Linked DNA regions of Astyanax mexicanus. The protein of the gene in region 2 binds, or shares a complex with, the protein of the main gene of each other region. Links are inferred from orthologs where the notes say so. Each region holds a gene or a part of one and is shown on either strand. Other genes may lie near its edges. The genes, in order: med23, med4, med8 and med18.

Region 1 (7,161 bases), on a different chromosome or scaffold from region 2:
AGCTGTCCCTCTGGGTAGAGTTTCCGGATTTCATTCACAGCAAAATAAGCTGGAAGGAGACAAGCATTCCTGTCCAGGATGTACTCCACCACCTTCAACAACAACAACAGAGATCCATGTTATTAATATAAATACAGTGGTCCTTATTCTCAAACCAAAAAGAAGAGCCCATGTTGCTTTCCACATTTCAACACAACTGACTTGGACCACAAAGGGCTTCATAATCATCCCAGAAATATATTTATGTTACAGCAAAAAAAACTAACTTGTCCCACATGCTATGATTTTGAATAGTAATAATGATTTGTGAGTTTTAAACAGGCTATTAAAAGTTTTAAGACTGTCTATTCTGGGGCTATCTTGTCTATCTTGGCTAGCCCTAGCTGACAGAACCAGGCTCTTCCTTTATTGTTCAATATCACTTATCGTAAATGTATTGTAATAAAAGATGTAGCTATTCCATGCTACACTGAACTATACCTCTCGCACAGGCAGCAGCTGATGCACTACAGCCGAGCTGACCAGGTTGGGGATGGTCTGAACTTTATCCAAAACAGCCTTCAGAAGGTCTCTCACACCCTGCAACAGAACACAAAACAGGTGGTTATGTTTTAGGCCATCTAACAACAGATTAACACTTCCAAGTTAACATTTAGTAAATGGTTGGAGACAGACATGTGTTAGTATTTGGTAACAAAACATATGCCCCCCGCTCGACTGTGTTTTTATTCCCTAACTATTAAAGCGCATAACACAAAATGAGACCATAGGCAAATACTCAAAACTAGTTTTTTGAATGTTAAAGTGTTAATGCATTCAATTATTCTGGAATTTTATATAAAGTGAAGATTCCACTGTACCTTATAATCAACTCCACCGATGATTTTGCGAATGAGTTTAAAGGTCAAAGCCCAGAGTTGTGTGCGTTCCCACTCCAGAGAATCAGAGTTGATCAGAGCCTGGCAGACCATTCTATAAACACAAAAACACACAATATTATTTATAATATTCATCATAATATTTTTTATTATTTACACACAGTTCACAATACACCACTAAAATCGATTAACAGTCTGTTGTGTTCATAGATCAATAAAACATTTTTTTTTTTAACTAGATTTATTTTATTAAATTTTATTATTAGCCTTACTTCTACCACTACAGTTTTGTGTAATTTGTCTTATACATGTAAGTACCTGGGGGGCAGCAGACTGGTCTCCACCGCCATGGCCAAGCAGTCATAGAGGAAGGAGATGCGTTTTGGACTGTGCTGGCTGTGGATAAACCTCACGATCCACTGCACACACTGCTCATGGGACTCCTGCAGAAAAGAGCAGCACTGCATAATGCCCCATGATATACTTAAAAGTTAATAAAAGGACAAGACAATGCCCTGGGGCAAAGTGGCACAGGTTTTTGTGTAACTAACCTCAGGAAGACTGCTCCAGTATTGCCTGAATGCTCCTAAACAGCTGATAAGTTTGGTTCTTTCATCTTCAGGGGTGTCCATAAACATCCTGTAGTTATAGAAATATAATTTATACTTAATTTAGAAGAACATGCCACATAACCACAAATGTTTGTATGATGTAAAAACTCAATGTATACTGTCACATACCCAGCGAAAGCCTCCTCAATTACTTCTGTTTTCTGAGGGGTAAAAAAAAAAAACATGAATTTTTACAAAGCTTTGATTATGAATTACATAAAACGAAGACATTAATAATCTTATGAACACAAGAAATTGGTGTTATCTTCCATTTTTAAGTGTATAACAGCAACATTTCTAATTTGTATAAAAATCAGTCAGGGGTGGGCAACATGACTTTAAAATATTATCATCATAATCCAATCTATTTTTGCGATAACTATAGTCTGGAATGACAAAAAAAGATCAAGAATACACTGCTGCAACAAAGACTGCTTTCAAGAATATTGCTATTATCACGATATTCAGTTTTTATAGTCTCACATTTGTACGATATTAATAAATATGATACAATATGCCACAGCCCTAACTGAAGTAAAATATCTGTGTATCACAATGACAGAGGGGGATTTTGTGCAAAGCAAAATGTGACATCATTTATAATTTTCTATTTTGTAGAATTTCCCCTCAGGGATCAATAAAGTATCTATCTATCTATCTATCTATCTATCTATCTATCTATCTATCTATCTATCACACTTTTTTTAGGTGGAGGTCAAAACCAAAACTGCAGACTTTACAACGTTTCTCTGCACATTTTATTTTTAATAATCAGGCTCCAGATTTTAAGATATGGCCAAATATAGGTTATATATATAGTGTGTCTGTGGTGTAGCTGGCCTAATTTTGATCAAAATAAGTGTATTTTTCTCTGAGGCTGTTTAAATCAATTTATTCTACCTCAAGCTACATGAACACTTTAACTGTTGCTTCTGGTTTTACTCCATATTTTCTGAGATAATTAGGTTATGTTCAGATAACGTTAGCTAAACTCGGTAAGTGAATGGTTTATCTGAACCTTAACCGTCATTTAGCTAACTCAGAGAGCATCGTAGAGAAGACAATGGTAACCTAGCTAATGCTAGCTAACCTAAAAGCTAAGCTAGCTAACGTTAGCTAACTCTTCATACAGCTTTCAGCGTGGAGATTAACCCCCGTTTACTAAGGAGCTAATGGAATGCTTAATACAGTGAAGTTATAGATAATCATATCTGAGCTCCTGTTATAAAGTTGGGGGAGTTTAAATCAGTTCAGTTTTTCTGATAAGGGCTAGTTTCTCTAGCTCGGCTAAAGCGACTCTAACTCTCCGTTTCAGCTCCAGAAACACAAACACGCACCACCACGTCCTCAAAGATACTCTGCAGCTGACTCTCCATCGGGACCGCCATGGTTTAACCCTCACAGCGTAGAAAAAGCGCCGGAATATTTTACACTTAGTTTAATTTCTGCTTTAGATACATGATCAGCCGCTCCTCCTACAGCGGAGCCGCCGCGCAGCTTCAATAACAATCCCCCCTCCTGATCCTCCAGCAGCCCCAAACCAGGGTTCCGGATCCAGTAAAAACACTCCTCCTCCTCCTCGTTATTCTCTACAAAAAACTGGCATATTCCACAGAATCTGTGCCATTTCTGTCTCCAGGAAATGACATATATAAATGTGCACACAAAATAACGTTAAAATACATTTTATTAATAAGCATAGTGTCTTGACCTAATTGCAAAAGTAAGATATGTAATATATATATATATATATATAGAACACTGAAAAAATAGCATTTGTTACCTGTCCCCACTCTCTATAAATTTTACCATAAAATATAATTATTAAAATCCTTCACATGTAATTTTCTTGCATTGCTTTGTGACTTCAAGTCCCATGTATGCTTTAAAATATTTTCCATATAAATCCATAATATTAAATATCCATAATATACATATATTATATCCATAAAGTTAAAATACACATTTATTTGTGTCCCTGGTTTTCACTCTTTCCTGTTACCGTCACACAATACCCCATCTGAAACATCTAGAACAGGGGTATTTAAATAGAATTCAGTACGGTCCAGTTAAAGAAAATTTTGCCAGGCCAAGGTCCGGACCTTCGCCATTTTTAACTTGCGTTATGATTTAGTATTATATCCTGTACACTGAAGAAGCCTTGTAGTTCTGTCAGTGTTACAAATTACACATACTAGTACATTTCAACAATATGTATTGTTGTAAATAGGTCTGTCACAATAATTACATTATCAACCTATCATAAAATAAATTAAAACACCCTGAATAATTTAACTTATCGAGTCTATTAATGTGAATCTGTATGTTAACTTTGTTTCAAAATGCTATATATTTATTCTATTTTTATTTATATTAGATTTAGGCCTGCCTGTCATGATAATTACATGAATGACAAATCATACAATATATGGAGAAATGTTTGCTGAACTTGTATCAGCTTTGTTTAAAAACAGCAGTTTTATTGTATTTAATATTAGTACTGTATCAGACTTTATTATGTTGTGGGTAAAACTGATGGGGGAGTTGTCAATGCTTTTTGTCCTCTGGGGGTTGCCTTAGTTTTAAGGTAGGGTTGTTTCGGGAGTAGAGAGAGCGCCTGCGAACGAGGGAGTTCTGATCAGGTGGAGTAAAGTGGACTGTTTTGCTCGGTTACATTACATTATCATCTTAATTTATTTTTTATTTTCTCGCTTTATTCTCCGATTTCTCACCGCCTGCTTCGCCTGTGTGGCTCCGTGCTCCCGCATATGCACAGATCTGATTGGCAGAGGAGAGCGTTTGCTGATCTTACAGCACACGTGATTGGGGTGTAAGTTTAATGCGTCGCAAAGCACGTGAACCATAAAAACAATAAAAGTTCCACCGCTTTAAATGAACACTGTCAGAATTAAATCCTTCTCAGTAGTTTATTGGTTTGGGTCCGGATTGGACAATGTCTGGGTCCGGACCCGGACCGCGGTCCGCCTATTAGTGACCCCTGAGAATATTCTACAAGTCACATCTACAACAGGAAGTTCCATCAGCTGTAAACAACATGCAGCTATATGTGTTGTTTCTTGAACGACATTGCCATCCTTAATCAATTTACTTTTATAAAAATACAGCTAACCTGTACAACAGTGGATCCTTTTAACTTTGTATGAACTCTTCCCTTTCCCCCCCTTAGTTTGTCCTTCCAGCAAAATTTGAGCCTAATTTGTCCTGCACAGTTTAATGTATTTATATGTTTGTATTTAGAAATAATCAAAGAATTAAAACATAATAACAACTAATGTTCTGTATATTTATTATCAACACAATTTGTCCCACAACAAAAGAGGCTTTATATCTTTATTTATTTATATACTTGTGTTTTATATTTTTTTGTGTGAAGGGAAACTGCATGGTTTGGCTGCTGACTCATCACCATTTTTAAAAACAAATATTCCAGTCAACAAAATATGATCAATGGTGTTAAAGGCTTTCATTTAAAATAATGAACATCGTGTGGCTCTATAAAGACCATGAGCAATGACATAAATATTATACATAAAAAAAATGTGGTGAGTGATGCTCAACACTAGGGGGCAGTGCTTCCCCAGAGTAAACACCACAGGTCGGATTTAAAACATGACCGCTTTGCAGTGGAGTCAGTAGGCTGGCTACTGAAAAGAGAAGGGTATAGCTGCAGCCTGGAGCACCTCCAAAGGGGAGGAACATTCCCTTCAAACAGGCGGAGCCTACCTCCAAGTAGGATGGTGCTTGATGTTACGCAGCATGGTGTTTTTTACAACGTTTTGTGCTTGTAAATAACCCCAAAGGTTAATTAATTAATCTATTTCGTTTATTAAATGTTTGTTTATATTAAAATGCATTTTCTAAGAGTCTAAAAGCATGTTGTGCACATTGCAACTACATTTTATTTATTTAAAACCTTTAAACATTTGCCATGCTGTGAATTTTTCAAATTATAAAATAGTAAAGATCTAAATAATAAATGCAGTTGTTTATTCATAGCCAATAATATTATAAATACATACACACTACACGTATATTATTATATTGACATTTAAGAAATATAAATAATCATTAATTGTTGACTAATATATTTATTGACATCCATGAGCCTTTTAATCACGGAGGACTTTTGTTGTGGCATTCGGCAGAGAAATGGAGCTGTGTTGAGTGATGTCTCCCTGCCTTACGATGTAGATTTTTATATAATATAATATAATATGATGTGATAGTACATTCTATATAACATTAAATTTGATGTAATAGAATAATAGTAATAATAATAATCACGTAAGACTTTTATTATGACATTCGTCGGAGCCGTGGTGAGAGAGGTCTCGCGCACAAACGCGCTCCCAGTCGAGCTGTATACTGTTGATGGACTTCCCACTTGGAGGTAAGCCCCTCCCCTTTGGAGCTGTGGACGTCCCATTTGGAGCTAAGCCCCTCCTCTTTGGAGGTGCTCCAGTCTGCAGCAATACATACTTGACTGAAAAGCTCTCATGGTGTCTGTTTTATCTGAAATGTGGTTGCTGTTGGATGATTTGTGAGGCATTTATTGACAGTGACATGTTTATGTTATTCCCCTGACCTTAAAGGAATGATTTAATCAAATGTCAGATTTTCACAACTTCTCCGAATATTGTTTGTTTGTTTGATTAGTTACACTAGAGCTGCTAGATTAATGCAGAGGAAGCTTATAAACCAGCAATTAGCATGATGCTAACTGTGTTCCTAAATATCACACACTCTCCTCAGACTGAAGTTGTTAAAGCAGCCAGGGGCGGATCTAGCCATTTTGGGGCCCTCATTCTTAAAACACACACATAAACCAAATAACTAGAGATGGAACGATCGATCGGCAGTGTATCGGTATCAGACGATGTTCAGCCAAATACGGTATCGGCGATCGGCAGATATTCTTCTGATTTTAGCCGATCTGATTCAGGAGTTTAGGGATAAGCAGTTTATCAGAGCTGTGTGTGGATGAAACTGGTGAAACCGGTGAAACTGCTCGCTTACAGGAAGCTGCAGTTCCTCATCCAACCACTAGTCGGAGCTGCAGCAGCACAATCCCCGCTGTCCAGTGTTGCCAACTTAGCGACTTTGTCCCACACACACACCGCTCCACGAACACATTGTAAATGAATCGCGCGTGCCCACAGCCGCCGCTGACTGACCCCGCTCTGTATTTACAGAGCAGAAGTATAAATATTAAAGTGCCTTCAGTGTAACACGAACAGAAATCCCTTAATTTAATTCACAAAGTCTCAATCATTCACTCACCTCATTCACCACATAGCCTGTCACTCACCTCCTCCACAGTGTCTGCCTCTTTATAAAAAGCTAAATATCTTTTGAACCATTGAACAATTTGTCTATGATAGGTTTAAAAATAAAGAAAACTTAAGAAAACGTAAAAAAATAAAAATAAAATAAAACAAATCTAAATACAAAGCTAAAAAAATTAATAAATAAAACAAAGCTAAATATCTATTGAACCATTGAACAATTTGTCTATTATAGGTTTAAATATAAAGAAAACTTAAGAAAATGTAAAATAAATAAATAAATAAATAAAACAAACAAACTAAAAAAAAAACTGAAAAAAAAAAAACTAAAAAAAAAACGTAGAATAACAGTTCCGGCTGCTGGCA
Region 2 (7,442 bases):
GTTAAGAAGAGGGAGGACTTAATCCATGCTCATTTAGTTGAGAGTCTATTTTGTTGAAGTTAAAGTTAATCCTAAATCATGTTAAATGTCGTAAATCGATGGGTTTTATAATAAACAGCAATAAACAAAAAAGTGGGGAAACACTAAAAAGAATTATGCCGGTGTGAACCCAGCAAAACAGCAAAAGATGCTTGAGATGGAAAAATAAGGAAAAAGAAGTAAATATATATATAAAATTAATACCTGGAACCCAGTTAAGAGGAGCACACACTGCATTACTGGCGCTTATCCTGTGCGCATACTTAATTATTTCCTCTGAAGAGATGCTGCCTGCAAAATAAACACAAACAAATTATTATTAAACCAAACATTTAATCAGAGCTACACAATCATTAATTCAGAGGAAGTGTGAGCAGAGACTCTTCATTTACTGATCACAAACGAGACGGATAATCAACAGCTAATCAGTATTTATATTAAACAAACTAGTCCAGTGAAAGGGAGATAAAACTGTGATGTTATAAAAGTGTTCATCATAAAAATAATACACTGATTGATATCGCCTATGACTTTTCTCACACTATTAAATGATATGTTGACCTGCAGGATCCTGTATACGTGTGGGATCTCCTGCACTGAATGTGGATGTGATTTCTGAGGCGCTTCTCTGTTTGCACTGATAATTCCGGTCACTGTGCTGTCTACTGTAGGTGGTAATGGCTTCTATGGCCTAGATAGAGATTGTGGAATGTTTAACATCCACTCACTTTGTCTCATCACTGAGCACATGGGCCAGTGTCCAACCTCACCCACAAGATAGCACCTCACAACGTGTACATGCAGGAATTCCCAAGTAATCCTCTAAAGTAACTCCTCAAGATTAATATCTATACTGCTGTCCCATTAATTTAGGCATGTTACTGTATTTTATTACACAGTGTTAATATTACAGTGGTGTGTGTGTGTGTGTGTGTGTGTGTGTGTGTGTGTGTGTGTTCCTGCTGTGTTCAAACTGAATTTTAGTACCTTTTCTGGCCTTTTCGATGGACTTGAGCTTCTCTTTGGCCTGGTAAACAGCCGTCGCCTGGAGGAGAGAAGATATTCAATTTTATATAAACCCTGATATAATATAAATATAATATAAAGATAAATAAAGAAATGTTTAATGTCTGTGTTTTTAGCAGTCAAAAAAAAAGCTCCACAGATAAAAGAACCTAAATGTAGTACCAAAAAGTTTTAGTTTGTTTAACACTGTTTTTAAGTTACTACATGATTCCTCGTGTGTTCCTTCATAGACTAATAGATCACTTCACTATTTATTTAAAATAAGAATATTAAACAAGAACATCACTACTGAAGATCAGCCTCACCAGGATGTGCTCGGCCTCTTTCAGCTGTTTCTGCAGCAGCTGAATGTCACTGTCTCTCTTTTCTGCTTCTTTCTCCAGCTGCTGCATCTCCTGATGGATCCTGCCCTGTTCCACCGCCGTCTGCATCAGCTCCTGAAACTCCTTATCCCTCTGAACCAGCAGCTCCAGCACCTGCGTATACACCACCAATATATAAACCATATATAAACACAATCTGACAAAGCACAAAAAACTGCTGCTAAACACAATAAACATAATTACTAATATTTACAAAACAGGAGAAAATTATATAAGCAAATATTTTAATATGATGTTTATGGAATATAGAATATGCTGACTTTTATGCAAATCATCAGTTCATTTAAGATTTTTAATAAATGTGTGAGATTTCTAATTTCCTATTCATTTAAATATATGTTCATCTAAAAGTTAATGATTAAAGTTTAATATCATAACATTTTCCACAAACTACAGCATCCCAGAATCAAACCTAAAATAAATATCTGTAAAGTGCATTAATCAAACTTTAATTTTCACACGAGACACACACTGTACCTGAGTGTCCTCTCCGGGCTGCGGGAGCTTCTGGGTTCGGGACAGAGCGAGCATCTCTATCAGCTCTCTGCAGAAACAAACACAAAAAAACACAGATATTATACAACAGCAGGTTTTTCCCTTTTGGGTCTGAACTTATACTCTTTCTTACAGGGTAGAATTTCATAAATAATTTTCCAACAAAAGTCCAGCATTATAAAACATGATAAGTATACACTTTTGCAAGTACATAAACTTTGTAATTTTCAGTGAATTTATTAGTATCTGATCTGTTCATATAAATTAAAAGTGGTGCCCGATAAACAAAAACAAAGATTAATGTTGTGAAGCCTGCACACGCAAAGAGGGCCTTCAATTAAAAATGGCAAAAAAAATAAAATAAAATAAAAAAGAATCAAAGAGCGAAACCATCAAACTCAAACAGAAACAGAACTCTGTTAAAATCTTAAAATCTAGCCTGATTAACGAATCGACTAAGCTGATTTACATTAAAGCCAGAACAGCTGCTGTACTGATGGGAAGCTTTTATTCATTCATTCATTTTATTTATTTATGAGGGACAAAAAAAACTAATAATCGATTTACTAATTATTTTATTATTTTACAATAGTTTATAAGTTATTTATATATTATATAAATTCTTTTTTATTTCTTTTAATTCTGAAAAATAGAATACAAGCAGTCAGTAACAGAACCGCTCAACTAGAATTTCTTTTCTACCCGTATTCAGACAGGTCCCGCCCCCTGCCTGCTCTCATTGGGCAACAGACCGGCGGAATATTTGATGACAGCGCTACCAACCAATCGAGGCTATGAGACATAAACGCCACCAGCCAATCAGAGCAGAGGTGTGTGAAAACAGGCGGGATGAGCAGAAGTGCTGATCAGTAAACAGTCCCGCGCGCTCTCTGTGTCTCTCAGAGCGGAATAAATAATCACACATCTGATAAATAATCAATAATCCCTCAGATTAATTTCGTATTATCACTCACCGCGATAAAACCTCCATATCACTGAGCGCAGAGAGCAGCTTCTCCTTAGTGCTCCTCTCCCCCGCCGCCATCGCGCTCATTTCCCCTCACACTGAGAGAGAGAGGAGGAGGGGGGGGGGGGGTAATAGAGCTTTAATCACAGCGCCCCCGCGCGGAGGGAGGATCTTTTGGTGTTGCTAAGAGTCACGAGGTTCAGCGGAGCCAGCCAATCAGACAACAGGTATGGAGAGAAACACCACCTTAATATTTTTGGGATGTAAAAGAAAAAAATAGAATTGCACTGAAAGAAAATTCCTTATTTTATTGTTTTTTTTTTCTAAGAACAATTCTATTTGAAAAAAGAAATAAAAAAGAAAGAACTAGAAAAGATGTCTAGTGAGGGGAGAATTTTTATTTTATTTTTGTATAGTGGCTGCTCCTTTTTAACCTGAAAAATATTTATTTTCCTAATGTTAAGGCAAACTTTGATTTCAAGTCAAGTCAAGTCAATTTATTTATAGGCACATTTAAAAGACATCAAGTGTTGTACAATAAAACAAAACAAGATTTAAAAGAAAGCAAATCAGTGGTAAAACTATTAAAAAAAACAGTTTTTAACTGTTCTATTGTTTCTAAAAAAAATGTTGATTGTGATAATAAAGTATTTTGTTGCCCACCTCTAACGTTCACATTACCAGGCTGAAGTGACTCACATCTGACTTATGTGGCTCAGATCTGATTTTTTCATGGCTGTGTGAATGTGCCAAATCTGATTTTTTCAAATCAGATTTGATTCACCTTCATATGTAATCCTAAATCAGATACGTATCCACGCATGCAACATGCAACATGAATGTGAACGGTCAAATCTGAATTCATTCGTCTTTTTGCTTTTATGCATTAGCATTAGCGCTACGTGTTTCTCTCTCGTACCCACACTGCATCTCTTGGTGCAGCTGTGCAGTTATAGCTGCAAAAATAAAACAGCAAAAGCAAACTACCTGTCCTTTTTTCACCTCCTGGACCTGAGCATGAACTTCAGAGCAGCTGTTTACTCTCCACTACAGCAAAAGATGCTCCACATATATATAGAGGTTGACTGATTGATATGAAGAATAAATAACTATAAAAAACTCTTTCTGACTGGAATCATCTTAACATTTATATAACACATATCTTACAGATCACTGTAAATCTTGATTGACAAAAAAAACACATTTACAGAAAATAAATTGTTTTATTAAATGTATTAAATGTTTTAATCATCTGAACCTAGATGCTATGTGTACAGAACACAAAACAGAGTATAGATTTCACAGCAGTACTAAATTTTATGGTGACACAGTGGCAAAAAACTCCCTTTAAGAGGAAGAAACCTTGGAAGGAACCAAGACTCAGTCCGTGGAACCCATCCTACTCGGGTTGACCCGCTCAGTACAAACAAACAACAAACAACAAACAGAACAAAAACAGTACAGAGAATTAATGTGAACTATGGCTAATATAACAGGTACTAATTTATGAATATAAGAATGTGATGGGCACAAACTATAGAGCTATGGCTAATACAGAAACAGATACTGAGTGTGTTAATGGTAATCAGTGCAGGGCTGCAGAGCCGGAGAACAACACAGCGGGCAGTGGAGAGCCAGGCTGGGAACATCAGGAACAGCATCTCCATACATGTAAAAGAGATAGATAGAGAAAACAGAAAGGAAAGGAAGAGAAACAAAAAGCAGGAGTTAGAAAGGCTGTGTAATAATTCTGATGAGTAGAAGGACAGGGCTGATTCCTGAAAGCTGGAACCACAGACGGACACATCCAGGAAGACCGGCCGGCCAGGCGTCTCAGCACATGTGAGAAAGATAGAGAGAGAGAACAGAGAGGGGAGGGAAGAAAAAGGGGTTAGAATGGTTTTATAAAACTCTGCTGGAGTGGGATGGGCACTGGTAGCAGCAGCTCAGGACATGGGGAGAGAAAGAGAAAGCAGATGATTAGGACAGGGTTTATATTTGCTGGATAAGCTGTAAGAGGAAGAAAATTGTAATGAGACATTACTCAAAAGCTTGAGCAAATAGAAATGTTTTGAGTCTAGATTTAAAGATTGAGAGTGTGTCTGAGTCTCGTATATTAATAGGGAGGCTATTCCAAAGTTGGGGAGCTTTATAAAAGAACGCTCTTCCTCCTGCATAGTTTTTTCTAATACGCGGGACTAATAACATGCCAGCGTCTTGAGAGCGGAGTGAACGCGGCGGATTGTAAGGAGTAAGGAGTTCCTGTAGATAATGCGGGGCCAGACCATTGAGGGATTTATACGTCAGGAGAAGTATTTTATAATCTATATGAAATTTAACAGGTAGCCAGTGTAGGGATGAAAGAATAGGTGTAATGTGACCGAACTTTCTAGCTCTGGTAAGCACTCTTGCGGCTGCATTCTGAACTAGCTGGAGTTTATGGAGTAATTTATGTGGACTTCCAGCCAACAACGCGTTGCAGTAGTCCAGCCTGGAGGTTATGAATGCATGTACCAGCTTCTCAGCATCTTCCAGAGAGAGTATACTGCGGATTTTAGCTATATTTCTTAAGTGGAAGAATGCAATTTTGACTATGCTACATATGTGAGCATCAAACGAAAGAATTGGGTCAAAGATGACCCCAAGGTTTCTCACAGTTTTACCAGGTATAATTAAGTGACCGTCTATGTCTACAGTATTAACATTTATGTTTTTATCAATATTAGGACCTAATAGAAGGACCTCAGTTTTATCAGAATTAAGTAAGAGAAAGTTGTGTGTCATCCAATTTTTAATGTCTTTAATACAGTCTGTTATTTGATTTGTACAGAGCTCCTCGTTGGGTTTAGCAGATATGTAAAGTTGCGTGTCATCAGCATAGCAGTGAAAGTTAATACCATGCCTACGGATAATTTTACCCAGTGGTAGCATATAAAGAGTAAAGAGTAATGGACCCAGTATTGATCCTTGAGGGACACCATATTTTACTCTAGACTGATAAGAGCATTCGTTATTTAAGTAAACACACTGGAATCGATCTCTCAGATAAGATCTGAACCAGGTGAGGGCTGATCCTTTAATTCCTATAAGATTTTCTAACCTATCAAGTAGAATAGCGTGATCTATGGTGTCAAAGGCAGCACTTAGATCTAGCAGTACAAGGATGGCATTACTGCCCCTATCAAGAGCTGAAAGTAAATCATTAGTTACTCTAAGTAGAGTTGTTTCAGTACTATGGTTTTGTCTAAATCCAGATTGAAAAACCTCATGCATACTATTACTTTGTAGATACAAGCGCAGCTGGTTAAACACAATTTTTTCTAGGATTTTGGCTATAAAGGAAAGATTAGAAATTAGTCTATAATTAGCAAGCTCGCGGGGGTCCAGATTTGGCTTTTTGATAATGGGCTTAATGACCGCCAATTTAAGAGAATTGGGTACGTAGCCCATGCTAAGGGATGAATTTACTATTTCTAGTAATGATTTTCCCACCTTTGGCAGTGCCTGTTTCAATAATTGTGTGGGTACTGGATCTAATATACATGATGTTGATTTTGATGAGTTAATTACACTAAGTAAATCTTTTTCTGTAACCGGGCTGAAACACTCTAGGTGTGTCTCAGAGCTGGAGCAGCATTCATTAATATCTATAAGTAAATTTTGGGGGTGATACTGAATTTTTTGTCTAATGCTATTAATTTTATCATCAAAGAACTTCATGAAATCATTACTATTAATGTCGACAGGGATAACGGAGCTAGTTTGTTTTTGACTGCCGGTGAGTTTAGCCACAGTAGTGAAAAGGAATCTAGGATTGTCTCTATTTTTCTCAATAAGCGATGAAATATACTGGGATTTTGTTTTAATTAGGGCTTTTTTGTAGTCTGTGAGACTATGCTGCCATGCTAGCCGGAAAAATTCTAGTTTTGTGTGTCGCCATTTACGTTCAAAGTTACGAGCGGTTTGTTTTAATGTACGTGTGTGGTCATTATACCACGGTGCTAGCTTTTTATCCCTGATTTGTTTTATTTTTGTCGGCGCTACGCGGTCAAGGTTAGAGCGGAGCACAGTTTGTAGATTTTCTGTTTTGTGCTCGAGATCATGCTCATAGGACGGAAGGGAGATGGTTAAGTCGGGGAGATTATTTACAAATTCATTAGCAATTGCGGTTGTTATTTTACGCTTGCTGATATAGCGGGGCGGGAGGAGGATATTTTGATTAAAAACTATTTCAAACATAATTAGATAATGATCGGATATTGAGTCATGTTGAGAAAGAGTAACTATATTCTCAGCCTCAATACCCAGTGTCAAAACTAAATCTAATGTATGACTACATCGGTGAGTGGGGCCAATTACATTTTGTTTAAAGCCTAGAGCATCTAAAACTGATTTAAATGCAATTTTTAGTGGATCCTGGTCCTTTTCAAAGTGGATATTAAAGTCTCCAACAATTATGATCTTATCAGAAAGAAGAATTACTGCTGCTAGAAAGTCAGCAAATTCACTAATAAAATTTGAGTATGGTCCAG
Region 3 (7,987 bases), on a different chromosome or scaffold from region 2:
TAAATAAAAACCTGAAAACTGGGGCGTGCAATATTATTCAGCCCCCTTGTGTTAATACTTTGTAGCACCACCTTTTGCTGCCATTACAGCTGCAAGTCGCTTGGGGTCTTTCTCTTTATCAGTTTTGCACATCGAGAGACTGAAGTTTTTGCCCATTTTTTCTTGCAAAAAAAGGCTCGAGCTCAGTCAGGTTGGATGGTTTGTGAACAGCAGTTCCACTTCACGATTGTGTCCCACTTGTTGTTGATTCTTCACAAAAAATTACAATTTCATATCTTCATGTTTGAAGCCTGACATGTGGCAAAAGGATGAAAAGTTCAAGTTCAGAATACTTTTGCAAGGCATTGTAGGTAACACCACAAACACAACACAACTTTGAACTCACCTGCAGTTTCTGCCTCTCGATCATCACGAGGATTGTTGAGCTTCTCCAACAGACTCGAACACAGTTTATTCATAGTCTGGATCTGTTTCTGTTTAAACAAACAAACAAACCACTGATTAGTTTTCAGTACTGTTACAGGAAGACAAAAAATATATAAATAAATGTAAGCTGACCACTGAGAAGCAGGGCACTCATAAAAGATATTATCATCACTGATCAACAGTAAATTTTATTTTAAATTTCATTTCTAAATTAAGGAAGCAGAGTCTGGAGGAAGAGTGGAGAGACACACAGTCCAAACTGCTCGAGGTCGAGGTGTGAAGTTTCCACCAATCAGTGATGGTTTGGAGAGACATGTCATCTGCTGGTGTTGATCCACTGTGTTTTATTAAGTTCAGAGGGTTTCATGCTTCCCTCTGCTACTGACAACTTTTATGGAGATGCGGATTTCATTTTCCAGCAGGACTTGGCACACTGCCCTTACTGCCAAAAGTACCAACTGGTCTTATAATATAATGTGTATATAATATAAGCCATTATCATCAACAATAAAATAAATAAATGCTTAAAATAGATCACTCTGTGTTTAATACATCTAAATAATATAAGAGTTTCACATTTTTCAACTGAATTACTGAAACACAGTAACTTTTTAATAATATTCTACTTTTATAGATGCACTAATACATACACAGAGTTAGTTATTAAAGTAATATTGATATATGGAGCAATAGCAATATGAAACACAAAAACAACATAGAAGTAGGTTTTCAAATACATTTCATCTCATGTGACAGTACAGTGTATGGTTGTTAATGCAGTACCTGAGCTACTTCAGGTCCAATCCTGGCAGCTTCTACACTCAGCTGTTTCTCCTGCTCCTCCACTTCCGGGTCCGGTTTTGTCCGGAGGTGATCCGGAACAATCTCATGACTGAACACAGGCACCCTCTGCTCTGTGAGTTTCTGAATAGAAGGAACACAAATTAGGATGTAATTTAGCCCCTGTTTACAGACATATATCGATATCATAACGATATCAGAAAGAGATACAGATACTAACCGCTAAATCTTCGTCTCTATCTGGCGACAGCAGCAGAGGAATGATGACTTGGTTCCGGTAAGATGGAGTTTTCTCATTTCTTAACAGTTTATTCACTGTGTTTAACTGCCCTGACAAAAGGGCAAAGTTGTCCAGCACTGAAGGCCTGTGATAAACGAAACACATCTGCATGAGCAGTTATCAATAGCAATATAGTTATCTATGGCTATTTAATGTATATATTTACATGTAATGTAAGCCATGACCTGATACTCACCATGTTAATCTGTCATATTCATTTTCCAGCTTATAGATGAAGCTCTGCAGAGAATTCTTCAGATGTGCAACGCGAGAAATCAGAGACTCCACAGACGCCTCCAACTGCTTCTCTTCTCTTTGCTGAAAAAAAAAAGAAAACGATTTTCAGACCACATGTTAAAATCTCTTATTTTAAACTAGAATGCTGGTCTATTTTGAACCCCATTCGGTTTGCATATATGCATTATTGTGATCAAAAATCTGCATTTGTTTATATTTCTTATTTGTGCAGATAAAAACAGCAATTTTACCAAAAAACATTTAACTATACAAAAACATTTAACTATACAAAAACATTTAACTAAATAAGTGGGCAAACTAATTGATTAAGAAAACACTTTATCTGGGGAGCTCCTGCTGCTGTTCCTCACTGTATGAGTTTTTTTTTTTTAGAGTGAAATAGAAGCAATTATTCACTCAGGAACAGAGACTGAATTTATTGAATATATATTTTTTACTGGAGAAAGAAGGGGAATAGTGGCTGATTTTAATACTGTAATGCCTCTAACGGCTTCAATTGTGCAATAGAGCTTTTGAGGATTATCTCTTTTTGAATACTTAAACATTAAGTATTTTAGTTCTATTTATAGTGTTTATGGAACTATTTAAAATATTTATTTTATTAATATTTATGGTGTAATTTTGTAGGACAAAGTAAACCCAATAGTAATCAAGCCCTTAATTTAAAGCCCAAATGTTTATTTAATATGTACATCTAACAGTAAAATAAGGCAGACAGCTATATAAAAGCCCTGATATAAATTTGTTGGTCACACCGCCCATTACTAATATTAGTCACAATAAGTTTTTTGGGGGATATATGGACATGGTCTCTTTACAGTGAAGTTCAACTACGATGAGCCATAATTACATTTAGTTAACAATGTATTGCTAAAATCTGAGATCATACGTACTACAGAGAACCTGAATTAAAGTTTATATCAGTAAGAGTGGAATTAAGAGGAGATTTTAGGCTTGTTTTATTATTAAATCTAAGGAACACAGGCTAACCTGCATACAGCGCTTTTACACACAGTAAACTCGCCTAAACACACACTAACATCAATTCAGCCCCCGAATAACACCTTCAGAAGTTATGTAGGAATGACCCTGACGGTACTAATAAGCGGTAAAAAATAATAAAATTACAAAATATTTCAGTTTTACCTGCATCTTTATTCACAAGCAGCGCAGCTCCCAACCACCAAACACCAGAAATACCGGAAACACAGAGCCCAGACATCCCGCTTTGCAAAACACAAAAAGAAGTCCCCTCTAATACGTTCATGTATCACCATTATCAATATGTTATATGTCTCATTTAATCTTTTTTGTCATTCATTTTAAAATGATGAAGTCTTATTTTGGTCTCTAGTATGAATGAATGGAATTTCTCCCAAATTCCAAATAAAAATATATAATTTAGAACATTTTTTGCAGAAATTGAGCAATGGCTGAAATAAAAAAAATAAAAATATTTGGTAAAATCAAATAATTTTTAAGTGGTCTCTTATTTTTTTCAAGAGTTGTATGCTTTAATATGACTTCAATATGCTTTGACCGGATGAGGACTTTTATTTTGACATTATTTAAATCACTAGTGGTGTTCACTGTTTAGCGCTCCGGAGGAGTTGTTTAGCTTTATGCTAAGCTAACTGCAGACAGCTGGGCGAACTTGGCGGTGATAAATAGAAATAAAAATACCAGCAGCGCTAATTTAATTTATTCTGTTAACAGAAGCTGAAGGGGAAGCAGAGAATTCGCCAGTAATGCGAAACCAGGCATGGCAGACAGGCCGGACTCTGAGGTAAAGCCGCGCTAATGCTGTTTATGTGTTTACTCTGCTCTGCTGAACTTGTTTACTGACAGTCTTGTGATTTATAAATCATTACAGAGGCTGGGTCAGTTACTGCTTAGTTAAAGAAAGTGTATTTCAGAGCTCTGCGTGTCTAAAACTTAATATTTCTGCTGTGAAAAATATAAATTTTAACTTTTAGGGGATGTTTATTATAAAACTAATTTACTCTAAACCTGGTCAGACATGGGAAAGGCAGTTTATAGCTTTTTATAGCAGTTTTCATCTGAATAAAGCAAAAAGAAGTAACATAAATATAAAAAGATGAGAACCAGTGTTTAGAAAATTAAATATAATGTTGTAGTAGCTATATAAGTCCACTAAACACACACACACACACACACACACACACACACACACACAATATCCTGTCATATTAGCTTGCCAGTGTTGTTTACCAGCCCCTCCCTAAAGTGGTTCCCACATCTCACTGCAATGTTCAGATTTTTAAAAAAAGCAAGAAGTCTCATATAGTAAATCTCTGCACAAGCATGTATTTATTGATTTATTTATTTGAACCCTCAAGTAATTTAATCTACTTTCTATAAACCCATAACGTTAATTATGTGAAGAGAGATAACAGTTTTTAATCCACTGGTTCATGCAGTGACTTGCAGCTGCCTGATAAATTGCTATTTGTTTATTTTCTTTATCAGCTGACCTTTATAATAGTCTCGTTATAGATTTGTTAGCTACAGAGGTGTGCTCTTATTTTAGAGAGCCCTCATTTTGTACTCTTCACCTTCACCGCCTGTTTTTAACACTTTTACTTAGGCCTGTCACAATATATTGTTCCAGAAAAATGATCATGATAAACACTAATATAGTTGTATTATGACCATTAAATACTTGTGGTTGGTGTGTTGCAGTGGATAACTGGGGGTTATTTCTCAATCTGGGTGAGTTATATATTATATATAATATAAGTGGCATTTGAATGGTCTTAAAATGACTGTAATATTGTTTATCGCAATAGTTTCCGGGACACTATATCTTCCACAAAATATTGGTATCGTGGCAGGCCTAGTGATACGGTATTGCTAATTTGCTGGTGTTAATTCTCTTTATTTGGTGTTAATCTTTATTTAAGCTTGTGTTTACAATAAGGTGGAGGCCCACCTTATTTATTCTTTTTTACAAAAAGAATAAACACATAACCTAAACAATAGCACTGTTATAGTGATCATATAAATCATAATTGTCTGTGATGCTGCACTTGAACATATCTGTGGTGTTTTTTTTTTTTTTTGTAAAAACCTGGCTGTGTTTTCTCTGCAGGTGGAGGAGGCAGACCAGGTTTACCTGTTGATGAAAGAAGATTACCACATATCAAGAAATGTGCGTCTATCCTGGTTCCTCAGCAAGTTAAACCAGGTCATCCGGCCGTCCCCAAAGTCTGAGCTGGTACGTGATCGGGCAGAATGGTACTGAATAGAGTCACTGTGTCATATTTGATTATTTTAATGTTTTTGATAGATAATGTTAAAATGCATAGAATAGAAATGGTATGTATGCTTGGCCTACGTGAGATTAGCCTACAGGTAATTTGTTGTTAGGGCTGCATGATAGAAATAACATCATTTATTTAAATGATATATATTTAAATATTGCGAAAATAGAGTGAAATATAAAAAATAACTATGAACTATAAATATTAAAGATGCTATGATAAATATGTGCTATGGATTGTTTTTGATACACAATTCCTATGCAATTAGGATACATTACAATTTAGTTACATATTTTTTTATTTTAAATGAAAAATTAATGTACATCTTCTACAGAGGCACTTTTGCACATTCTAAAGCATACAGTAATTACTTGTACTCCTTATTTTGGCTTAAAGTCACATTCAGGGTGTTATGTTTGAATTGATAATACAGTATATTACATTTATTACTGATTTAAATAGACTTAGATAAAAAGAGTAAATAAATGTCAGTAATCAGGAAAAATATGTTGTGCTTGTAGCTCAAATCAGAGAATGAACTGGATATTCTCAGTATTCTGCCAAAAGGATGGCAGCCGGATTCTCCTCACACCTCCATGCCGTACCTGCTGGTGCCGTCCACACGGGTCACCTTCCTGGCCCGGCGGTACCGCTTTATCATTGAGCTGGACCTCAGCCCCTCCACCGGGATTGTGGTAAAGTTGCTTGTTTGGCTCAAACCATCCATTAATCTTCTAACTCCATTAATTATCTTTTTTTTTTCTTCATTAAACTGTGTGTGTGTGTGTGTTTAGTGCAAACCTTGATTAAAGATAAGGCTGGAGCAGCAGTCTCACATTTTCAATTTAAATTATTGTATTAATATGCAGCGCCTGGAGATCACAAAGTGAATGGGGTGCTATGGTAACAACTATCTATATGGGGTATCACACTAGCTTTTTTCCAACACCTGACCGACCATATGGGTTATTGTATGAACAGTTGCAGCTGAATGCCATGACAATCCTCTTCACAACATTATGGCACACATCTTGTGTTCACATAGCAACACCATAGCAACCAGCCAAGAACCTCTTACATGTAGCAGCTTTGTCATTGTTATTGGGTGGTTACTGCGGTGAATGATGGCACTTGTTAGGTGCCATAGCATAGCATAGCATTTGCCACATGGAATACCGTACCTTGTGCGACACCTCTCAGCCACACCATAGCAACCACCTGAGCAAACATTTAAGAAAGATATGGTAACCACCGAGGAATGCAACCCCTTAGCAACACCTTAGCAGCCATCTAGGATACCATAGCAACCACCTAACAACCACCTGAGATAGTCAATATCTAGCAACAAATGGAAACCATTTAGGAAAGACGTATCAACCATCTGGGTAGTAAAATCCACTTATATATATATATATATATATATATATATATATTTTAGTCAGTGATGTAAAGCTACAGCAGTATAATAGGCTGTTTTTTTCCTTACGTTTGATGTGATTGTGATTCTCTGTGTTGTGCAGGATGACAGCACAGGCGAGATGATCTTTGATGAAGTCTTCCATGCCCTCTCGAGATGTCTGGCTGGACTGGCTGCTCCGTTTAAAATTCCCGGCACAGACTTCCTGTTTCAGCCTGAAATCTTCATCACCATCCTGGCATACTCCTCCATCGTCGGCCTCAGCTCACACCAGGTCATTACATCACACTTCCCTCTAATCACTTGGATTAAGAGCGGATGACATCACACTTTCAGTATGACACACGTTTCTCTCTACTGCGATCAACCACCTAGTAATGGTTGACCATGGCAGCTACCAAGCCACATCACTGCAACAACTGGAAACCACTTTAGCTGTGCAACCAATCTACTTTTCCTGCAGAAAATGCTTTTTTCTATGATTTGTCTATTTTAAGGTGGGCACAGGTTGTAAGTGCAAGATAAGCTTTATTTAAGGTGCTCTGAGAGCTGTAGTCATTAATACACTTAATATCAAGATAGACAGTGATCAAACACATACTAAACTTAAATAAAGTATTAATTAAAGTATACAAAAACTAGATTAGGCTCTCTAGATTGATTAAATGTTTAAATCCTGTATAGCAGGAGACAAATTATATGGCTAAGGATAGATTACAGTATCTCAGAAGTACTTTATTGTGATTGTGATAAAACGTCTTTATTGTTTTATTTTTGTTGTTGTGTTGAGGCTTTGTGTTTAAATTTTAATCCTGTTCTTCAGGTGTTGGTTCAGGGAAGCCAGCTGGACTGCACAGCAGACCTGGACCAGTTTCTACATCTGATCTACAAGCAGCTCCGCGCTGTGGAGAACAACATCGCTGAGGTTTTACAGCAGCAGCATAACCAGGCAAGTGTTTCACCAACCAGATCTCACTCTTGTTGATGTTGTCAATGCTGTTTTAATCAAGAAAACAGTCAGAACAGAGTCTAGAACAGTGCTAGATAATATAAACACAGCGCATTATTACACTTTTTTTTTAGGTTTGCAAACTAATAAAAATAGACAGGATACCTTTAAAACATTAGTTTTGCAAAAAATTGCATTGTGAAATTATCTGAAATCTGTGTCACTAATAAAGAAGCAGCAATGTCTGTTGTAAAAAGTGATGAATAAAAAATGTTTTTTTTTTAAATGGATTGAAACAACATGAATTAAATGTTTGTGTTTTTATTCAGTGTGATTGCACCTGTTCCACCCTTGCCGTTGATGCCATGGAGGAGCATCTGCAGAGGAAGCAGGGTGTTTCCATGGTAACTGCAGACGTGGGATTGGTCAGTATGGTCCGACAGGGGATACTAGCCCTTCAGCTCCTCCCCCCAAACTCTACCGCAGGTAACAAATGACACACAAATTAATTACGACAACAACCTAGCAACCTAAAATTAACTGATGTCATTCACCAAAGTAATCACCTAATA
Region 4 (6,901 bases), on a different chromosome or scaffold from region 2:
GGTTTCCCTGCTGACCTTTAAGAAGGTAAACTAGTTCATGATCAGCAAAGCTCTCTGGTTCCATGTTGTCACACAGACCTCTTAGACGATGGAGGAGACTGTCTAAGGACTGGTCCAGCACACTGCCTATGGAGTGCAGAATACAGTATTAATTTCAGAAATACAGTAATACTACAGATAAAGTAATAATAAAGTAATACTACAGATCATCAAAACAGTGTTGACCAAGTCAAATGATGCTGATAATTCTTTTTAAAAAATATTTAATTGTTCTATACTTTTGTTTGTTTTTGTATGTTGTACTTGTTCTTGGGGAAAAAAGGAAAAGGAAAAGATATTCACAAAAAAAAAACAATTCCAATATCGCTAAAATTTAAAGATTCAAACCAGTCCTAAATATATAGAGCGCATTAATAGTATTGTAACACGTTAGATCATTACCTTTGGTTTCAACCTCAATTAGGGATTGGCCATATCATACTCTATGCAATAATACTGGCAAATCAAATACAATAATTTTGTTGCAACAGTGTTTTTTTAATAATTTATTTTATTATCCAAATATTTTGTCACATCGCCAAAAATATTGTTTTCACAAAAATACTTTTAGGGCCCCATTGCCCACCTCTACAAATATGTAAATGGAATTACATGTAATCATCAAAATAACCTGCCTGGAATGAAAAAGGTAAATGCAAAATATTCTACAATAATTGTACAAATCTAGTTTTAAGCTGGTTGCAGCTGTTCATTTCAACACAGCCCTGTTCCATCCCTTCCCAGTTATGCTAAAGATCACATGTGTACATCTATCCGTTTTGTAGTTAAAGTGTATTTGTAAATGAAAATCTGAGTTTAGAAAGAAAGTTAAACTTCAGAAAAAGTTAGAACTAAACACTAGATGGCGGCGTGGGTACAGGTATCGAAGCTTCATAACGATACAACTGGTTTAACCCGGTTGTTGATAATCATTTGGAATCATTGTAATGACCATGCCTCGCTGAAACAGCGGAGAAACGGGATCGACAGCTGAAAACAGACAGTATCTTACCCTGCAGTAAATACTCCATCATGTTTATCGTGCCCCCGGTAACGGGCATCACGGTGACCGGCGGGGCTTCCATCACTCACCCGGGGAGTTACAGTTACCTTCAACTTCTGTAAAAAAAATTAAACACAGCATTAAATCAACGTAGGTTAAATTAGCTAGTTAAGTAGATAAAAGAGTGCTAGACCCGAAAGTAGTTAGGTTACAGGTTAGTAATCAAAGGCTGTTTGTTAGCTTGAGCAAACAATAAAATGAAAGGTGTCTGAAAAATTGGTTTTCACATTTTTTGGGGGTTTTACACACAAATATATAGCTTAAAACAATATAGTAAGTATATGTAGCGTGGTCAGTGTCAGCCAATGGATAATCAATAATAATCTATCTATCTATCTATCTATCTATCTATATATATATAAAAAAAATAAGAGACCACTTCAGTTTCTGAATAAGTGTCTCTGATTTTTCTATTTATAGGTAGTTTATTCTATAAACTACGGACAACATTTCTCCCAAATTCAAAATAACAATACTGTCATGTAGAGCATTTATGTGCAGAAAATGAGAAATGGCTGAAACAACAAAAAAAGATGCAGAATTTCCAGAACTCAAATAATGCAAAGAAAACAAGTTCATATTCATAAAGTTTTAAGAGTTCAGAAATCAAAATTTGTTGGAATAACCCTGTTTTTTAATCACAGCTTTCAAGCACCTTGGCATGATCTCCACCAGTCTTACACACTGCTTTTGGATAACTTTATGCCACTCCTCCTGCAAAATTCAAGCAGTTTAGCTTGGTTTGATGACTTGTGATCATCCATCTTCCACTTGATTATATTCCAGAGGTTTTCAATTTGGTAAAATAATAATAATAAAAAAAACTTTTTAAGTGGTCTCTTATTTTTTTTCCAGAGCTGTATATATACGGTGACTGGCGGGGCTCCCATTACTCAAACAGCTAGTTAACTACTACTTCTGTGAAAAATTAAAAACATCATTAAGTACAGCATTAAATAAACGTAGGTTAGCTGGTTAACTAGATAAAAGAGTGATAGATAAATATTAAGTGACCCTAAAGTAGCTAGGTTACAGGTTAGTAATCAAAGGCTGTTTGTGGTCACGATGAGCTAGTTAGCGTTAGCTCGTTAACTCTAGTTAAGTTATTAATATACTACCCTTAAATAAACCAGGAACAAATGTAACATTTAAACTAGCAGTTAAATACTTTTTATTTTGGTAAATTAGTGTTTTAAAAGGTCCTGGTGTGCCTGTCTCTGTGTGTGTGTTACTCAAATGTTACAGCACAGTGGCGCCACTGCACTGGAGGTGTGTGTGAGAAAGACGAGGCCTAAACGAAACAAGTAAATAATTCAGAAAGATAGACAAATACTACAAACCCAGCTCTGAATATAACACATACCGGCTCTGTGTAAAGAGGAAAGCGTGAAATATTCAGCCTATAACGTCTTAACCGTCAGTTATCTGACTGACCGGCTGTGTAACACTGCTGTCTGTGCACTCTGTTGTCGCTTAGCCTGCTAGCGCTTTCATTGTCAGGGTTGCCAGGTCCACCATAAATACTCAAAGTCAGTCTAAATCCCGGCCTTCAGAAGCTTAACCTAGCCCAAAATATTAAATATTTCTGTCTTACATTCGACGCAAATGGCAAAACAACTACGACTTAGTATTTTATATTTATAATATATTTATTATCAGTATTGCTATTTACCTTAAAGTCATTAATATTGTATTTTTGTATTGTATTTTTTTTGTATTATTGTGTTTTATTAGTTCTTTCATAACAGTTTTATATCCCAGACAAGAACATTTAATAGTAACATAATTAGCAAAAAAAAAAAAACTTGACTTACTCATTTATGTTTCTTTCCCATCCTGAACTCCCTTCTATCCTCTTTAACCTTTTTTTCATCGCGGGGTGATTTCTGGTTAGATTGTGTGTTTTTTTTTCTTTTTTGTGACTTTTTTGGCGAGCGCGGTAATTTTTAAAAAGTAGCCCAAACAATGCACCCCGCCACCCCTAAATTTTCATCCGCGAGTGGATTTTGAAACAAGCCCAATTTGGCTGAAAAACCGCGAAACTGGCAACTCTGTTCGTTGTAGAGGTACAGGCTTTGCGCATGCGCGTACATTTGGGTTGCCAAATTTGTAAAAACAGCACAACACAATGTCCTCAAACGTGTAAACTTTTACAATATATATATATATTAAATGTTGTATTAGTTCAATATAATTGTAATGTACAGGAAAATAGCAAATTAATCAATCTTAACAAAAAACGAAAAAAAAAAAACAAAAAAAAAACAAAGAAAGCAACCAATACAGAAGAAAATGAAGAAGAAATGTTACATATGAAGAAGTGACATTTTTAAGTCCATAAGCAAATTTTATGTTGCGCCATATTAAATTTCAGGAATTATCATATAAACCTTGGTGTTTTACTTTATATTGTGTGTGTGTTTGCATGCATGTGTGTTAGACCAGTACAATCAGTAGAGCACCAAGACATTTATATGTGTATGTCTGTGCGTGTGTGAGTGAGCTTGTCTGTTGTTTTCTTTTCTTCACGTGATAATCTTATTCAAGGAGACTTTATTGTCATTCACATCACATGTGGTACAGGTGGAATAAAATTAATAAACTCACGGTCCAATTCCACCAAAAAGGAGCAATTGTTAAGTAAATATAAATAATAAAATATAAAGATAAAAAAATATATATATAAAAAAATGAAAATATAAAGATAAATACACAAAATATAAAGGAGAGTTGGAGAGTAGCAGCAATATGATTTGTCAGTGCAGTTCTGGAATTAAGCTGTTTTTCAGTCTTGTTGTTTTGTACTTGATGCAGCTTCTGCCTGGAGCGGGACATAAAGAGAGGGTGGTGGGTGGTGCAGGTGGCCCTTTTCCTTTGTATGGAGGTGTAGATGTCCATGGTGCTGGGGAGGCAACAATCCCCTGTGCAGCCTTCACCACCCTCTGCAGGGCATTCAATATGATAGACTGTTAATGAATAATCTGTATTCATTTATCAATCATAAATCAATCAGTATTTACTTTAAGCAACTTGTATCCAGTTTGCTTTGAAATCATGTGATGTTAAATCTTTTCTTGATTCAATGTTAAGACATTATCTTGTTCTTCAAAAGAACATTGCATGCCGTACAATGTGAGTGTGTGACTCCTTTATGACTAAGTATAGAAGATCAAACAAATGTTCTTTTTAAATAATGTCATTTTAAAGGTTAGATGGGCTTAAAAAATACAGTATGTAACAGAAGTGAGTTATTAATTCATTTTATTAATATTTACTTTTTCATAGGACAACAATGAAGATATGCCAATTTGATACAATTTAAAATAGTCAGTGTACATCTTGTATAACGGTGTACGTTTGCTGCACCCTCAAAATAACTCAACACACAGCTATTTATTTATGTCTAAATCGCTGTTACCAAAAGTAAGTACACCCATAAGAGAAAAAGTGCTTGCATACATGTCTTGGTGAGTTTGCTTTTTTTACTCTCCAGTGTTTGCTTGTGTGTATGTGTTTGCTTATATGTGTGTATATGTATGTGTGTGCTCATATGTGTGTATATTTGCTTATGTGTGGATGCCTGTGTGTGTGTTTACCTGGAGATTCATGTTTCTGTATAGGTTTAAGTTTATGTGAGTATGTGTATGTTTGAGCGCACTTGTGTGTCTGTGTGTGTGTGTGGAAATGTTGGGGGTGGGATTTTGAAAGTTACTATGCCATACATTCAGATATGCTGATATTCACTAACATTGTGTAAACAAATCTGTGAAATGAATGCACTGGAAAAAGTTAAGAGACCACTTCAGTTTCTGAATCAGTTTGTCTGATTTTGCTATTTATAGGTACATGTTAAATGTAAAATGAACATTTTTGTTTTATTTTATAAACTATGGACAACATTTCTACCAAAATCCAAATAAATATATTGTCATTTATATGGCTTGTAATCATCCATCTTTCTCTTGATTATGTTCTATTCTTGATTGATTATGAGATTTTCAATTTGGTAAAATCAAAGAAACACATAATTTTAAGTGGTATCTTTTCCAGAGCTGTATATATATATATATATATATATATATATATATATATATATATATATATATATATATATATATTTAAAATGTATCACCTCACAGTTATCTATTTGCACCATATTTGTCATGCTATATGGAAAAAGAGTTTTTGAAGCTCCACCCACATGGATTGACATGTTATGTCATTAATACATGACATGCATTTGCAAATGCTTTTATTCATTGTTTGATGCCAATTTTATGTATATCACTTGAATGATATAGCATTTAGTCATTTTAGTGTTTAAAAAGTTAAGCAGCACGTTTTGGTGCCAGCTCAAAGGTAAAATTGCTGAAATTGTTTAACCTCAGTAAACAAGTGATGTAAACTTTATTGTATTGTTTTTTTTATTTAAGAAAGGTAGCAAACTGGTAAGTTTTTCTTGCTTTGGTGCCATACACTTTGGTTTATGTGCTCATAAATATGATCGAATAGGCAAATACAATCTCCACTGGGCTACAGGTCAAAACATCAGTGTTACTAGAACTGGGCCCAGAAAAAAACTACAGTTCTTACTTCCTGTGTTCCCAGAAATTTTAAAAAGCAAATTTGGAGATTTTGTCTTTTTGCAAACACAACTGAGTGAGAAAAAACTAGAAGATGTCTTACAGCAGGGGTGTCAAACTCATTTTGGCCGAGGGCCACATTGGCATATTGGCTGTCCTCCGAGGGCCAGATGTAACTTATAAATGTAATAAAATGTAACCAAATGTAATATATGTAAATGAATGTAATTACTCCTTAATGTTAAATAACTCTCAATATATTATTTATTCAATCAAATATTACAGTTGCATGGAAAAAATGTTTGCTTGTTGCTCTATTAACATAAATCCTTTTAATTTGTCATGTCATGAAACTCCATCAATCAAGAACCAAACTATTCAAGTGAATAGAAATGACATCAAGTTATATTAACTTTGAAATTATTAACTGAAATAAGGCTTAATAAATATAAAATCAAAAATTGTGAGCTGTTAAGAACATAGCATTTCCTCAGATTTAGCAGTTCCTCATCCAACCACTAGTGGGAGCTGCAGCAGCAGCACCACAAGTCCGCAGTCTTTACTGAGTCAGAGCTACAGCCCAGCCACGGGCTACAGGGCTCAGCTCAGCCAGTCTGGAGCGTTTTTAAAAATTTTAAGTTCTTCTGTGTATGAAATAAAGATTTTTGTAACCGAATAATACAGCTCTCTACAGTTCATCTTTCAGCCCAATCAGCTAACAGCAGCCGTTTAGAGCATGAGTCACTGCTGTGATTACATTATAAACAGGTCAGTTATCGCGCTGCTAACCTCAGGATGTTTATAACTACGGAGTTTAGTGGACACACCACGGCTGCAAGGTTAGACTGTTGAAGGCTACTGAAGACTATTAAAGGCTATTGGAGGTTATTGAAAGGGTTATTGAGGGCAGAAATTAGTAAAGGCTGGTTAGATAAGTTATTCACGTCCTCGTACTTTGCTGCGGTGAAACTGCGACTAGCGCTGTCCCAGTGATGTTTATTAACGTCATTAAAACAGATTTTGTCAGCTATTGTCTTATAAATATTTACACAGAACTTATATCTCTCCTAAAAAGCGTTTATTTTGGTCAGTAACACTCTTCGTAACACAAAAGGCATACCGGTCGCCTTGAAGCACAGCCGTCCGTCTGCATCAACTTCTCTTTTTCTGGACATTATGGGATAAACATTTATATGTCTCAATTCCACCCGCGAAG

What was found.
Region 1: med4 (region 2) and med23 share a complex: the UniProt entries of both Homo sapiens proteins name them as parts of the mediator complex. The link is inferred for Astyanax mexicanus from reciprocal best matches to the Homo sapiens genes MED4 and MED23.
Region 3: med4 (region 2) and med8 share a complex: the UniProt entries of both Homo sapiens proteins name them as parts of the mediator complex. The link is inferred for Astyanax mexicanus from reciprocal best matches to the Homo sapiens genes MED4 and MED8.
Region 4: med4 (region 2) and med18 share a complex: the UniProt entries of both Homo sapiens proteins name them as parts of the mediator complex. The link is inferred for Astyanax mexicanus from reciprocal best matches to the Homo sapiens genes MED4 and MED18.

The regions. Positions count from the first base shown.
Region 1 is NC_064408.1:41,856,144-41,863,304, reverse strand, and holds the start of med23 (mediator of RNA polymerase II transcription subunit 23), read right to left. Parts: upstream 3,012-7,161; 5' UTR 2,878-3,011; coding exon 2,827-2,877; intron 1,651-2,826; coding exon 1,619-1,650; intron 1,518-1,618; coding exon 1,430-1,517; intron 1,322-1,429; coding exon 1,197-1,321; intron 973-1,196; coding exon 861-972; intron 580-860; coding exon 481-579; intron 93-480; coding exon 1-92. UniProt on the Homo sapiens protein: Required for transcriptional activation subsequent to the assembly of the pre-initiation complex. Component of the Mediator complex, a coactivator involved in the regulated transcription of nearly all RNA polymerase II-dependent genes.
Region 2 is NC_064418.1:243,427-250,868, forward strand, and holds the start of med4 (mediator of RNA polymerase II transcription subunit 4), read right to left. Parts: upstream 3,027-7,442; 5' UTR 2,998-3,026; coding exon 2,918-2,997; intron 1,993-2,917; coding exon 1,926-1,992; intron 1,542-1,925; coding exon 1,371-1,541; intron 1,085-1,370; coding exon 1,027-1,084; intron 331-1,026; coding exon 244-330; intron 1-243. UniProt on the Homo sapiens protein: Component of the Mediator complex, a coactivator involved in the regulated transcription of nearly all RNA polymerase II-dependent genes.
Region 3 is NC_064412.1:54,814,485-54,822,471, reverse strand, and holds the start of med8 (mediator of RNA polymerase II transcription subunit 8), read right to left. Parts: upstream 3,013-7,987; 5' UTR 2,918-3,012; coding exon 2,912-2,917; intron 1,826-2,911; coding exon 1,704-1,825; intron 1,593-1,703; coding exon 1,448-1,592; intron 1,351-1,447; coding exon 1,210-1,350; intron 474-1,209; coding exon 386-473; intron 1-385. Other genes in the region: KICSTOR complex protein SZT2, read left to right, coding at 3,528-3,551, 4,878-5,003, 5,571-5,744, 6,570-6,740, 7,290-7,415, 7,745-7,901. UniProt on the Homo sapiens protein: Component of the Mediator complex, a coactivator involved in the regulated transcription of nearly all RNA polymerase II-dependent genes.
Region 4 is NC_064413.1:34,556,999-34,563,899, reverse strand, and holds the start of med18 (mediator of RNA polymerase II transcription subunit 18), read right to left. Parts: upstream 3,026-6,901; 5' UTR 2,917-3,025; intron 2,600-2,916; exon of another isoform or gene 2,466-2,599; intron 1,159-2,465; 5' UTR 1,125-1,158; coding exon 1,052-1,124; intron 127-1,051; coding exon 1-126. UniProt on the Homo sapiens protein: Component of the Mediator complex, a coactivator involved in the regulated transcription of nearly all RNA polymerase II-dependent genes.